Linked DNA regions of Nothobranchius furzeri. The protein of the gene in region 1 interacts with the protein of each later gene in a biochemical or structural test. Links are inferred from orthologs where the notes say so. Each region holds a gene or a part of one and is shown in the gene's direction. Other genes may lie near its edges. The genes, in order: ap1g1, synrg and eps15.

Evidence for each region.
Region 2: the proteins of ap1g1 (region 1) and synrg form a complex in vitro, tested with the Homo sapiens proteins (2 studies listed by BioGRID). The link is inferred for Nothobranchius furzeri from reciprocal best matches to the Homo sapiens genes AP1G1 and SYNRG.
Region 3: the proteins of ap1g1 (region 1) and eps15 form a complex in vitro, tested with the Homo sapiens proteins (2 studies listed by BioGRID). The link is inferred for Nothobranchius furzeri from reciprocal best matches to the Homo sapiens genes AP1G1 and EPS15.

The regions. Positions count from the first base shown.
Region 1 is NC_091749.1:59,364,626-59,368,277, reverse strand, and holds part of ap1g1 (AP-1 complex subunit gamma-1), read left to right. Parts: intron 1-187; coding exon 188-268; intron 269-345; coding exon 346-444; intron 445-517; coding exon 518-573; intron 574-657; coding exon 658-771; intron 772-846; coding exon 847-987; intron 988-1,276; coding exon 1,277-1,331; intron 1,332-1,440; coding exon 1,441-1,563; intron 1,564-1,712; coding exon 1,713-1,802; intron 1,803-1,897; coding exon 1,898-2,022; intron 2,023-3,652. UniProt on the Homo sapiens protein: Subunit of clathrin-associated adaptor protein complex 1 that plays a role in protein sorting in the late-Golgi/trans-Golgi network (TGN) and/or endosomes.
Region 2 is NC_091753.1:55,105,103-55,108,754, reverse strand, and holds part of synrg (synergin gamma), read left to right. Parts: coding exon 1-23; intron 24-100; coding exon 101-237; intron 238-3,330; coding exon 3,331-3,455; intron 3,456-3,560; coding exon 3,561-3,623; intron 3,624-3,652. UniProt on the Homo sapiens protein: Plays a role in endocytosis and/or membrane trafficking at the trans-Golgi network (TGN). May act by linking the adapter protein complex AP-1 to other proteins. Component of clathrin-coated vesicles.
Region 3 is NC_091748.1:56,873,572-56,877,223, reverse strand, and holds part of eps15 (epidermal growth factor receptor substrate 15), read left to right. Parts: coding exon 1-41; intron 42-167; coding exon 168-330; intron 331-411; coding exon 412-456; intron 457-543; coding exon 544-950; intron 951-2,067; coding exon 2,068-2,134; intron 2,135-2,208; coding exon 2,209-2,279; intron 2,280-2,401; coding exon 2,402-2,537; intron 2,538-2,614; coding exon 2,615-2,823; intron 2,824-2,910; coding exon of another isoform or gene 2,911-2,994; exon of another isoform or gene 2,995-3,652. UniProt on the Homo sapiens protein: Involved in cell growth regulation. May be involved in the regulation of mitogenic signals and control of cell proliferation. Involved in the internalization of ligand-inducible receptors of the receptor tyrosine kinase (RTK) type, in particular EGFR.

The DNA.
Region 1 (3,652 bases):
AACTCAGAAACCCGAATACCGACCTTAACCCGATCATAACCCGGATAATGGCTGCATGTAAAAGTAGTCATGGTCTCAGGTTTAATGCTGGCGATAAATCCCTACAGCTAAAACACACACTGCTGTTGTAGTTTTTAGTGACTTTGGAATCTTAAAGCTGTTTGTGATGAATGTTTTCAATGACCAGGTGCGGATATTGAGACTACTGCGAATTTTAGGCAAGAACGACGACGACTCCAGTGAAGCGATGAACGACATACTCGCACAGGTTAAAATGATAATAAAACTCTAATTGGATTTAAAAGTCGCTGCTGATTTTGTGTAACTGACAGTCATGTCCTGCAGGTGGCAACAAACACAGAGACGAGTAAAAATGTAGGCAATGCAATCCTGTATGAGACCGTACTCACGATAATGGACATCAAGTCTGAAAGCGGACTGAGGGTGAGTTGATTTAAAGAACTGAATCACAATATTTTTCTATTCTGACTCAGCTTAAATGTCCTTTTCCCTGCAGGTTTTGGCCATTAACATCTTGGGTCGCTTCCTCCTTAACAACGACAAAAATATTAGGTATTTATTAATGCACTCATCCCACTTGAATTTTAGTGCATACATTTAAGTGCTGTTTTTAATAGACCGCTTGATTTTCCCCAGATATGTGGCATTGACGTCTCTACTAAAGACGGTACAAACGGATCACAATGCAGTTCAGAGGCATCGGAGCACCATCGTGGACTGTTTGAAAGACCTGGACGTGTCCATCAAGAGGTTTGTCCTGCTGCTCGAATTGCTGCGGTTATAGTTTCACTCTTCGTTTTCTGATTTTTATTTTTGTTTTTTCAGACGTGCAATGGAGCTGAGCTTTGCTCTTGTGAACGGCAACAACATCAGAGGCATGATGAAGGAGCTGCTCTACTTCCTGGACTCGTGTGACCCAGAATTCAAAGCAGACTGCGCGTCGGGAGTCTTTCTAGCCGCTGAGAAGTACGACCTTACGTTTTGTTTTTCAGTTTGCTGATTTTTAGAGATCTGTGAAGCCATTCTGCCCCATTTTGTCCTGGCATGGTGAATTCAGGGTTTCTTTTGTTGAGAAGTCAGGGTAAATGTCTGATGTCGGTTAAAGAAAGCTGTGTGATGATAAAAAGAGTGATCCATCATCTGAGTGATCATGGTGATGCCTTCTATTTTCTGACAGCGTACATCGTCCGGCTGTACAAGAACTTCACGTTTCCTGTTCTCCTCTGTGACCAATCTAATATTTTATGTTTTACAGGTATGCTCCTTCTAAAAGGTGGCACATAGACACCATCATGAGAGTGCTGACAACAGTATGTATACCACAAAAACATTCCAATGACAATGTAATTGAATGTAATTTGTAATTCTGCAGCTTAGTGTTCTGCGTCGTTTGTTTATTTTTTCTGATTATCTTCACAGGCAGGAAGCTACGTGCGAGACGACTCCGTTCCCAACCTTATTCAGCTCATCACAAACAGCGTGGAGATGCATGCCTACACAGTTCAGAGACTTTACAAAGCACTTCTGGATGACATTTCACAGGTCGGTGCAGCTCTGCTTTAGCTTCTGATTAAATTAAATGTAATCTTCACCTCTGAAGCCTCCAGCCATAGATTTGATCATCTAATGTGCGTTTATGTTTCCATTAGTGCATTAGAAACTTAGTTTTATCTTCTCTGTCCGTTCCCTAGCAACCTCTTGTTCAGGTTGCATCATGGTGCATAGGAGAGTATGGAGACCTGCTGGTGTCAGGGCAATGTGAGGAGGAAGAACCCATCCAGGTATATTGAAAAGATGAAGAAACACACAAACTAAGGATCACGAACATTGTAAATACTAATGCTATACAAATGTATGTTCTTTTATTTTAATAAAGGTGACTGAAGATGAAGTTCTGGATGTGTTGGAAGGGCTTCTTGTGTCTAATCTGTCCACACCTGTGACTCGGGGTTATTCTCTTACTGCTATCATGAAACTGTCGACTCGTTTCAGCAGTGTGAAGTGAGTATCCTTAACTATTTTAGGTATAACTCATATTACACAAGTCTAGATGTTTTTTTGTTGTTGTTTTTTTTCCACTGTAGTGCAAGGCAGCTTTAATTGTACATGAGCAATTCAATGGTCTGTCCAGGAGCAGGAACGTAAAGCGTTAAAATCCACGTGACAACAGAACAAATTACAGCAGTTACAGTGCAGAAAGTGCAGCAAAAGAAACATTCATTCAAAAGATGATGAATACATGAAAATTCTCAATTTTGATTCAAATGTTACTAGAGTTGGGGTACATCTGAGGTCATGAGGAATCTGATTCCCTCTGTGTGCAGCATAGTAGCTAAAAGCAGCTTCACCCTGTTTGGTTCTGACCCGGGGTTCTACCAGCTGACCACTTCCTACGGATCTGAGCCCTGCTGGGCATAGATACTGCAAGGAGATGCAACATGTATTTTGGCCCCAGGCTAGGGCTGGGCGATATGACGAATTTAGACCGTTTTACGATCTACACATCTGACGGTCTGTCATTTTTGAGAGACCGTTTTATCACGATTCACAGCTCTGCTGTTGAATTTCTGCCTCTGAATGAAAAGGGAACTTACCCCAGGCGAATGACACGCCTTTGTTTGACCCTTAACCAATCAGAGTGAGTCATAGTAATACATTAGTGCCCCGCTTGTTTTCACTTGTGTGTGAACAAACATGGCTTCGGCCGCGGCTGAGAGCGACATGAGGTTTTCGTTCCGAAGAGGAACGCAGGGTTTCCTTAGCGCACGGCGCTAACAACTTAGTGACGTGACATGTCTCGGAGAAAGCGTAAAAACACGTTGGACGCTTCTTCTGAATCAGGAAAATAACACCGCTTCTTAAGCAGAGCACGACGCCGCCTCGGCTCGTTCACCCTCTGCCGAGCCGGTGTTGGTACTGGACTGAGCTCGGTCGCTGGAGCTGCATCGTGACTGCCTGATGGAAAACCAGCGGGTTTCATCAGACTCGTAGTTTCTTGTTTTTGCTGGGACCCCCTGTATTTTACCGCTCCCTCCTGCAGTCTTCCCCTATTACAATTTAAAATGATTCTGTAAACTCCGTGTATCAATAGAAACGATCTCTTCCTCTGCCAGCTGCAGTAAATGTAGTCTCCAAATAATAAGAGGTGCATTCATCTGTGCATCTCCTTTGATCCACATCAGTGATGTTTTCAGCACCAGAACAGTGAAGCAAAGAAAGATTCCTGAGTTTGTTAGTAATTTTATTTATTAGGTGCATCTAACCTGTTCTATTTTTCTCTGAAATGAGATCAAATCAGTGCTTCTATGGGTTGTCTCCAATGTGCACTGGAAATTTTTACTTTATTTAGAGACTTGTTGCAGAAAATATTCAGAATTCGCAGTTTTTTGCTACCACAAGCGATCTCTGGTCCAGCCGCACATCAGAGCCGTATTTGAGCTTAACTATCCACTACATGAGCAACTGGGAGCTACGTAGTATTTTGAACAAGTTAATGTTTGCACAATACGTTTGCAATTGACATGTTTGCACTTTAAATATGTTTACGATTTTAATTTATGTTAAGTAACTTGAAAAACGAGAAAAACTGATTTTTGTAATTGTTTCTCTCAGGGCTTTTATCATCTCTGGT
Region 2 (3,652 bases), on another chromosome or scaffold:
TTGCTGCGTTCCCTCCTGCGCAGGTAACGCCAAACCTCGTTAAAAAGCCTCTCTGCAGCTGGTTGCTTCTCTTATCTAACCGTCAAACCGTCCCACGCAGGCCGCCAAAACCGACGACGACGAGTTCCAGGACTTCCAGGAGGCTCCGAAGGCTGGAGTGGACCAGGCCTTCGCAAACTTTCAGGGGGAGTCGGGAGGAAGTTTCCCTAATACGATCGCCCCTCAACTCCAAAACAGGTACGGAGAAAACAGAACTCTAAATGGTCTTCATTCTGATCAGTTTCAACATAAAACACTCGGCTTTCCTTTAAACTAGTGGAGTTTTGTGCTCTGCATTTGAAATAAGCTACCAGCTGAGTGTTCCACCATCAACCTCTTTGAAGAGGAGATGTGAACATTTGCAGAGATGAGCGTCCAATACCCCCTCCCCCATGATTATTTATAGCAGAGGTATTCTGCATAATAATTGTCTCTTTCCGTCTGCCGTACACTCTGTTAGTACCTTGTAATAGCCTCCTCTGAATAGCAATGAGGTGGGGTCACCCCATAATAAATTCATGCCAGTGGACAGCGGCGGTGTTCGTTTCTGCGTTTTACTTTCTGTAAACACATTTGATCTGAAACACATTTTCCTGTTTAAGGACTCTTGTTGACTCGAGCTGGAACCTTCAAAAGCCTCGTTTACTTAGAATGCGTGTTTTTATTAAACACGATCGGTCGCTCTGAGTTTCACATGCTGAACCAGAACATCTCCTCCAACCCCATCACCTGCTTTAGCCACAGAAAGGAAACCTACGGGAGCAAAATCAGGTCAGAAAAAGCCACACTCTTCTACGTCGTAAGGAAAATGGATTTTTCTTGGCCCCGCCCACTTTGAAGGACAGAGCAGCTAGTAGAAGCTAACTGTTAGCATTAGCAGCTCCACAACAGCAGAACTCCTTCAGACTTGTTTTATTTATAGAGATGAAACATCGTATTTTTTAAGCCAAATTTCTACGTCTCCCATCAGCTCCACGAGGGGGACACGCACGCCGGGACAGAGACGGTTTGCCTTTGGACTTCTCCGTCTCCCGGGGAGTGTTGCAAAGCAATTCTCCACCAGGACAACAGGGCGTAGCGCTGTTCTGGGGGTATCCCGTCCAATATAGTGTTTTTATATTGTGTTTTTTATATTTAAGAGACTTTCTAACAATCATGCGCTCGCCGCCTCTAACCTACGTTTCCCGTCATTTCCGTCCACGAGTAAAACGCTTGCTGCTCATCTTTTCACTCCTCCAGTCAGGGGGGAATTAAACGTTTATATTTTTACGGTTAGGTATTCTTCAGGCTTCTCTGTGTCTGCTGCTAGATATCTTCAGCTCTCTTTGTGTTTGAGGGCGCAATGGCGGAGCTGTAGACGACAGCGGCGTCGTGACCAATCACAAGCTTGCGTTCTCCATCTCATTGGACGGATGTTTAGAGAAGAGAGCTCGACTCCGTTCATCCCTGCGAGAGAACCCTTGAAAGGACGGATAATGGTGTTGCGTGCGTCCGTCCCGACCATCACCATATATATTGGACAATGCGTGTCCATAGGCTCCAATTCTAAGTTTTTGTGCCAAAATGGGAGGTGACCACCACCACCATTTTGACCGTGTCACAGGTTCCGTCAAGCCCAGACAATTCCAATAAAGGGAAAAGAGGTGGAGCTGAAGGCGGGGCTGTAAGGCTGGGATCAAATGACGACACCCGTCGAACTAGCTACAAGCTAACACAAAGCTAACACGGAGGTGGAAGCTAAGTTAACGGAGGTAGCTACCTAGCTACAACCAGAGTTTACTGTGCACAACACCAGAACTTCTGAGTCAGAAATGCGCCGGTCTGAGCGCTGGGTAAAACCGGGTGGAACACAGAGGTCTCCCGAAAGCTTCACAGGCCGGCAGCCGCACAACAGACGGGCGCCGCCGCTGCGATCTGAGATGCGCTGAGCTGCCGCTGAGGGGAGGGAATCCATACGAATAGTCGGAACCCAGCTCCACCAACATGTCACATTTCAACCCATTTTCTAAAGTGCAGCATTAAGTTAAATGCACTGGGTTTTACCCTATTACATTTAAATTTCATGGTTAAAGGGGCATTATGGAAGTGTGACAGCCAAAACATGTATAGAAATAATAAATGTCTTCTTCATACATTCTCCTGCAATGCCCTGGTCCTGTAGAATGAGCCCTGGCATTTTTACTGTGATTGCCTGTTTTTCTGTAAAATCACAGAAAAAGAGAGATGCTCGGGTCGAGCAGGCTGCTTCATGCGCGTTCACGCTCAGGCATCGCCCTCCGAACCGTTCTTTGAACGTTGTTTCAGCTGTGATCAAGGATATAAAAGTTATAGATGCAGAAGATGCCACTGGTGCTTTAGCTCGCCTAGTATAAGTTCGAGCTGTCGTGCAGAAGACCTGGGTTTGATTCTGGATGTGAACATAGTTTATTTAGAGTTTATTTTTTACATTAATGGTATATTTTTTACAGTAAGATGCCTATTAGTGCAATTAATGCCACAGCAAGTCATTTTGTCCAACAATTGCTCAAATAATATCCAAAAATGAACGCACAAACGCTACAACTAATGGTCTAAGTTGAGAGACTGAAAATGACGGAACAGTTTTCAGGCGAGGCCGAGGCTCTACTGAGGCCTTTCCCCGGAGCTAGCTCTGCGGTCACGTGGGTCTGATGCTCATTAATTATACAGAATTTTAGGCTTTTAATACACTTAAACAGAAGAGTGAGAAAAAAACTCACCCCCCTCAGAGTTGTCATGAGTGTAAACTAGATCATTTAAACCTAAAACATGTTCTGGTACCAGGCTGTAAACATGTTTATTTCTGCTGTGAAATTGGTATTTTTAACATGGGAGTCAATGAGGATTTGCTCGCTTCTGACACCAGCCCCTAGTGGATGAGGGTGAAACTGCAATTTTTGTCACTTCCGTGTTGGCCTCATTTTCAGACCCGTATTGTGGGGGCTTGGTCCCGACGCAGACGCAGAAGTATAAATTAGGCTTTATCCAAGAAAGAAAAGTGAACGAAGGCCACGGAAGGGTGGTGTTTCTGTTAGCCAATCAGAGGACAGACATTTGTATATCATGAAAATTAAGGAGTAAGACTCCTCTGATAAACTTCTCCTTCCTGAAACAGGAGCGCCAAGGCTTTTCTCCCACAAGGCGTTCGTTCAAGCCAGAGACCACAGCGAGTTTATTAAAAACCTTTTAAACATTAAAATCATCTCCGACGTCTGCTAGAGGGTAAAGCTCGTTCACTCCTCTCGTCTGAAGTGAGCTTTTGTGTTTGAACAGCACTCCGGCCATGCTGACTCCAGTGTCTGGCTCCTCCTCTTCCTCTGTCACGTCCACCGATAAGTACGCTGTGTTCAAGCAGCTGTCTGAAGATCAGCCCGCAGAGCCGACGCCCCCCACATCAGGTGAATCAAACTCCCACGGCGCTCCAATCTGGGGCCGTACGTCACAGCCGTGGCCCGTGACTCATGTTAAAACGGTTCGTGACTGTTGTACAACTTTCTGTTCAGATGTTGGTGACAAGTACAGCGTGTTCAGACAGCTGGAGCAACCCGCTGACAGGAAACCTGTTGGTAAGGAACACACCTTCTCCTCCTCGCTG
Region 3 (3,652 bases), on another chromosome or scaffold:
ACGAAGATGATGATGATTCACCTAAAGGCAGCCCGCTAAAGGTCAGATTATTCACACTTCTATCTTCAACCCAGACGCTGAAGTTGATTATTCAAGACAGGATTCATAAAACATGTATAAACTGTAACTGTGAAGATTCTAGTCAGCACCATGTCACCTCCCTACAGGTGGAGTCCCCAGAGCCAGAGAGCAAACCAGAGCCAGCAGACTTGACAGAACCTGCCATCCCCTCGTTGCCTCCTCAGGTTGGACCTCGCTCCATGCCACCACAAACGAGCCCCCCCTCCCTGCCTGAGATGAACTTCTTTCATTCAGACCCTTTTACAGATCGTGAGTTCTCATAATAAAGAGTCAAGCGTCTGTTGAGTCACCCACTGAGATGGAAATGTTTAAAGATGGACTTTTTTGTAGATGATCCATTTAAAGACGATCCTTTTGGTAAAGCAGATGTTGCAGGTCAGTTTTACCTTTTCAGTCTAAGAAATGGGTCTGTTAGGTTGAAAAGAAATGTCCAACTCTATTTTTTTTTCCATTTGATGTCAGATCCTTTTGGAGGAGATCCGTTCAAAGGCTCGGACCCGTTTGCTGCAGATTCCTTTTTTGCACAGACTTCCAACGCCGCCTTTTCCTCAGAGGACCCTTTCTCCGCTTCAGCTGACCCATTTGGTACCACCCCCGGTGTGCCAGAACCAGACCTGTTTGCAGCCAAGCTAAATGATATGGCTCCAACACCATCCGCACCAGCAGCAGAAGTCCAGGATCCGTTTGTTTCCAAAAGCATGAATCCAACTCCAGCATCCAAGGATCCATTCAGCTCGACGGGAACCAGCAAGGTGGATCGGGACCCATTTGGAGGCAAAATCAACCCCTCAGGGGAGACGGATCCGTTTAGTTCACGGGATGGAGGAACAGATCCTTTCAACTGTTCTGTGAGTTCTGATGTTGCTCTGGTGAGTGGCTCCTTTTATCATTTTAGAGATTGTGTATCATGCTATTTTAAACCATACAGAGCAAGGCTAGGCACAGTAAATGATTAAAATACCACCGCTGGCACTATCGAGAGTCTTTAGTTCAGGAAAACAAGTTATTTTCTTGACATTTTATCAACCCAGAAATAAGACGCTTGGTTTTTATGAAATCTCACCTCCACCTGTGTGAATTCCATCATTACACAACGTAACCCTGAAGCCCCAGCAAAGCGCTGTGGACAATGAAGAAAATAGCAGTAGATTAAAACGCACACCAGTAGTGAAGTGGCTACTGGGAGGATCAGGACAAAAGGGCCACCCTGCGATTGCCAAGTGTGACCCCCACCTCTGTTCTCCGTCGTAGAAGCCGGTAATGAGTTGCTAACACCAACGCCACTGTGGCCCATGCTAGGATGGTTTTAACGCTGGCCACAGTCTGAAGAAGTAATCCATCTGAAAACCCACTCCGGTATTGGTGGTGCATTAATAACCAATCTGTGAAATCATGATCTCATTCTGGCTCGGTTTTGAGCTCCTGAAGATGAATTAAACTCTTCTTCAGAACCGTTTTTGGGTTCTAGGCATTATTTTAAATTCAGACTACATAAAGAAATTCCTTCTTCACAAATGTGGAGACTAAACTCCCTTCTTACTACGCAGGGACTGAATGTTAATGTTTACAGTCCAGGAGAGGAGGGATCCAGATTCGATGCTACCTGGATGGAGAGAAGCCGTGCACGATGATGCAGACCTGCTTCATTCAGCTGTTGGCAATGACTTAGCAGACCTCCAGAGACTCTGCAGCTGAGACGGGAAAATACATGTGTGAAGCCAAAAACCACTTTGGGGGTGTTTTTAATGAGGACAAAAACAAAAAACATGGTCAAAAGCTCCAGAAAGTGCATGACGGTCCCTTAAACCCAAATCTAGGCATGATGCTACATGATCACCCATCCCCTGTAGACAGCTGGAGTGGATTAAATACGCGTTAAATAATATAAGAACAAAGACATCATTTAGAGGCTCATCATTTTTTGGAAGATTATTTCAAGTAGTTTATTAAAGCATGCACATAAAGTAATTTGTCTCTGTTTTTCAGGACCCTGCACCATCAAATGACCCGTTTGCCCCTGGAGGTACAACAGTGAACGCCACCTCAGATGCAGGTATAACTCTGGACTCTAGAGACAGGAAGCATTTGATAATAAATACCTTTATGTGGTGAACTGTTTTCTTTCAGATCCGTTTGCTGCGGTGTTTGGTAACGATTCGTTCGTCGGAGGCTTTGCAGATTTCAGCGATCTGTCCAAGGTGATGTTCAGAGTTTAGACATGGCCTCTAAATGTCTGAAGGTTTTACTGTTGAATACATATTTTCCTGAACACATGAAGCTACACCAGTAACTAAACTGGGGTGTCGACTTCCTGTTCCAGTCAAACGGTCCTGACCAGTTTGGGATCAACAACAAGAACCTGTTTCAGGAGGACAGCCAGTCTCCCACCTCGGACATTCCTCCGGCCCTGCCCCCTAAAACGGGTACTCCAACGAGACCCCCCCCTCCACCTCCAGGTCAGTGACACGGCTGGACGGTTGTAAACGTTTGCTGTAGAGACGCATCAAGTGAAAACGAGCACTTTGTCCTCCAGGTAAGAGGTCGTCCATCTCTAGGACCGAGTCCTCTGAGTCCTTCCAACGAAGGGGAAACTTCATCCCACAAACCTCAGGAGACTTCTCCTCTTCCTCCTCCTCCTCCTCCTCCCTGCCTGTCAAGGATCCTTTAGCTGACCCCTTCGCCCCCTCCTCCCCTCCTCGGCACAACCTGCGGGAAGCTGATCGGTTTGCCAGCTTTGACAAAGTGAGCACCTCCCCCTCGTCATCTCCCTCACCTCCACCTGAATGTCAATAGTCACACCCTCTTTTCTTTCCTGCAAACAAATCGCAGCTTTTTCAGGAACGCAGCCTCCGCCAAGTAAATCAGGCCAGTGCCGTTCTCAGCCAACAGCAACAACCACAGAAAGGAAGCTAAAGTTTTATTCACAGTTTAACTAAGTAGCGTGATTCTAGAATGTTTTAGAGATGTTTTCCACTCATCCCACCTGCAGTTTGCTGTTTGTTATTAATGCCATTTTCTTAAAAATCACTAATTTGCCACATTTATTTGGGAGATTTTGATTAAATTTAAGGCTTTTTTTGTAGTTGGATAGATGCTCTCTGGTAATTTGTGACATAAAAATGTACAGAAATATCCTAAAACTATATAAATTAATATATTTGAATTGATTTGTAGCCACAGTCACAATTTCAGAGCTAAAGTAGTTTCTAGATGAGAGGCTGCTTGATGTTGCACCCTGTGCACGCACGCATGTTAAAGCAGAATAACCTAAACTAGGTTACTGCATTAGAAAGATTTTACGCTGCTTTTTGAGTGAACGTGTGTATTGAGGTCCAGCGGCTTATTCTGTGTCTGCTGAAGCTCAGAGACGGGTTTTAACTAACTAGCTTTAGCCAAACTCTTCACGGGTGAAAGAAATATTTCACACCTTGTTTCGCAAAATCACCATATTTAAGGGAAGTTTTACCACAGAGGCCTTTTCCATTAAAAACTGCACCCAAGTGCACCTTTGCTGTAACTGCTTCTGAAACATCCCCCTAAAGCTGCAGAAGTTGTGAATTTGGGTTTGGAT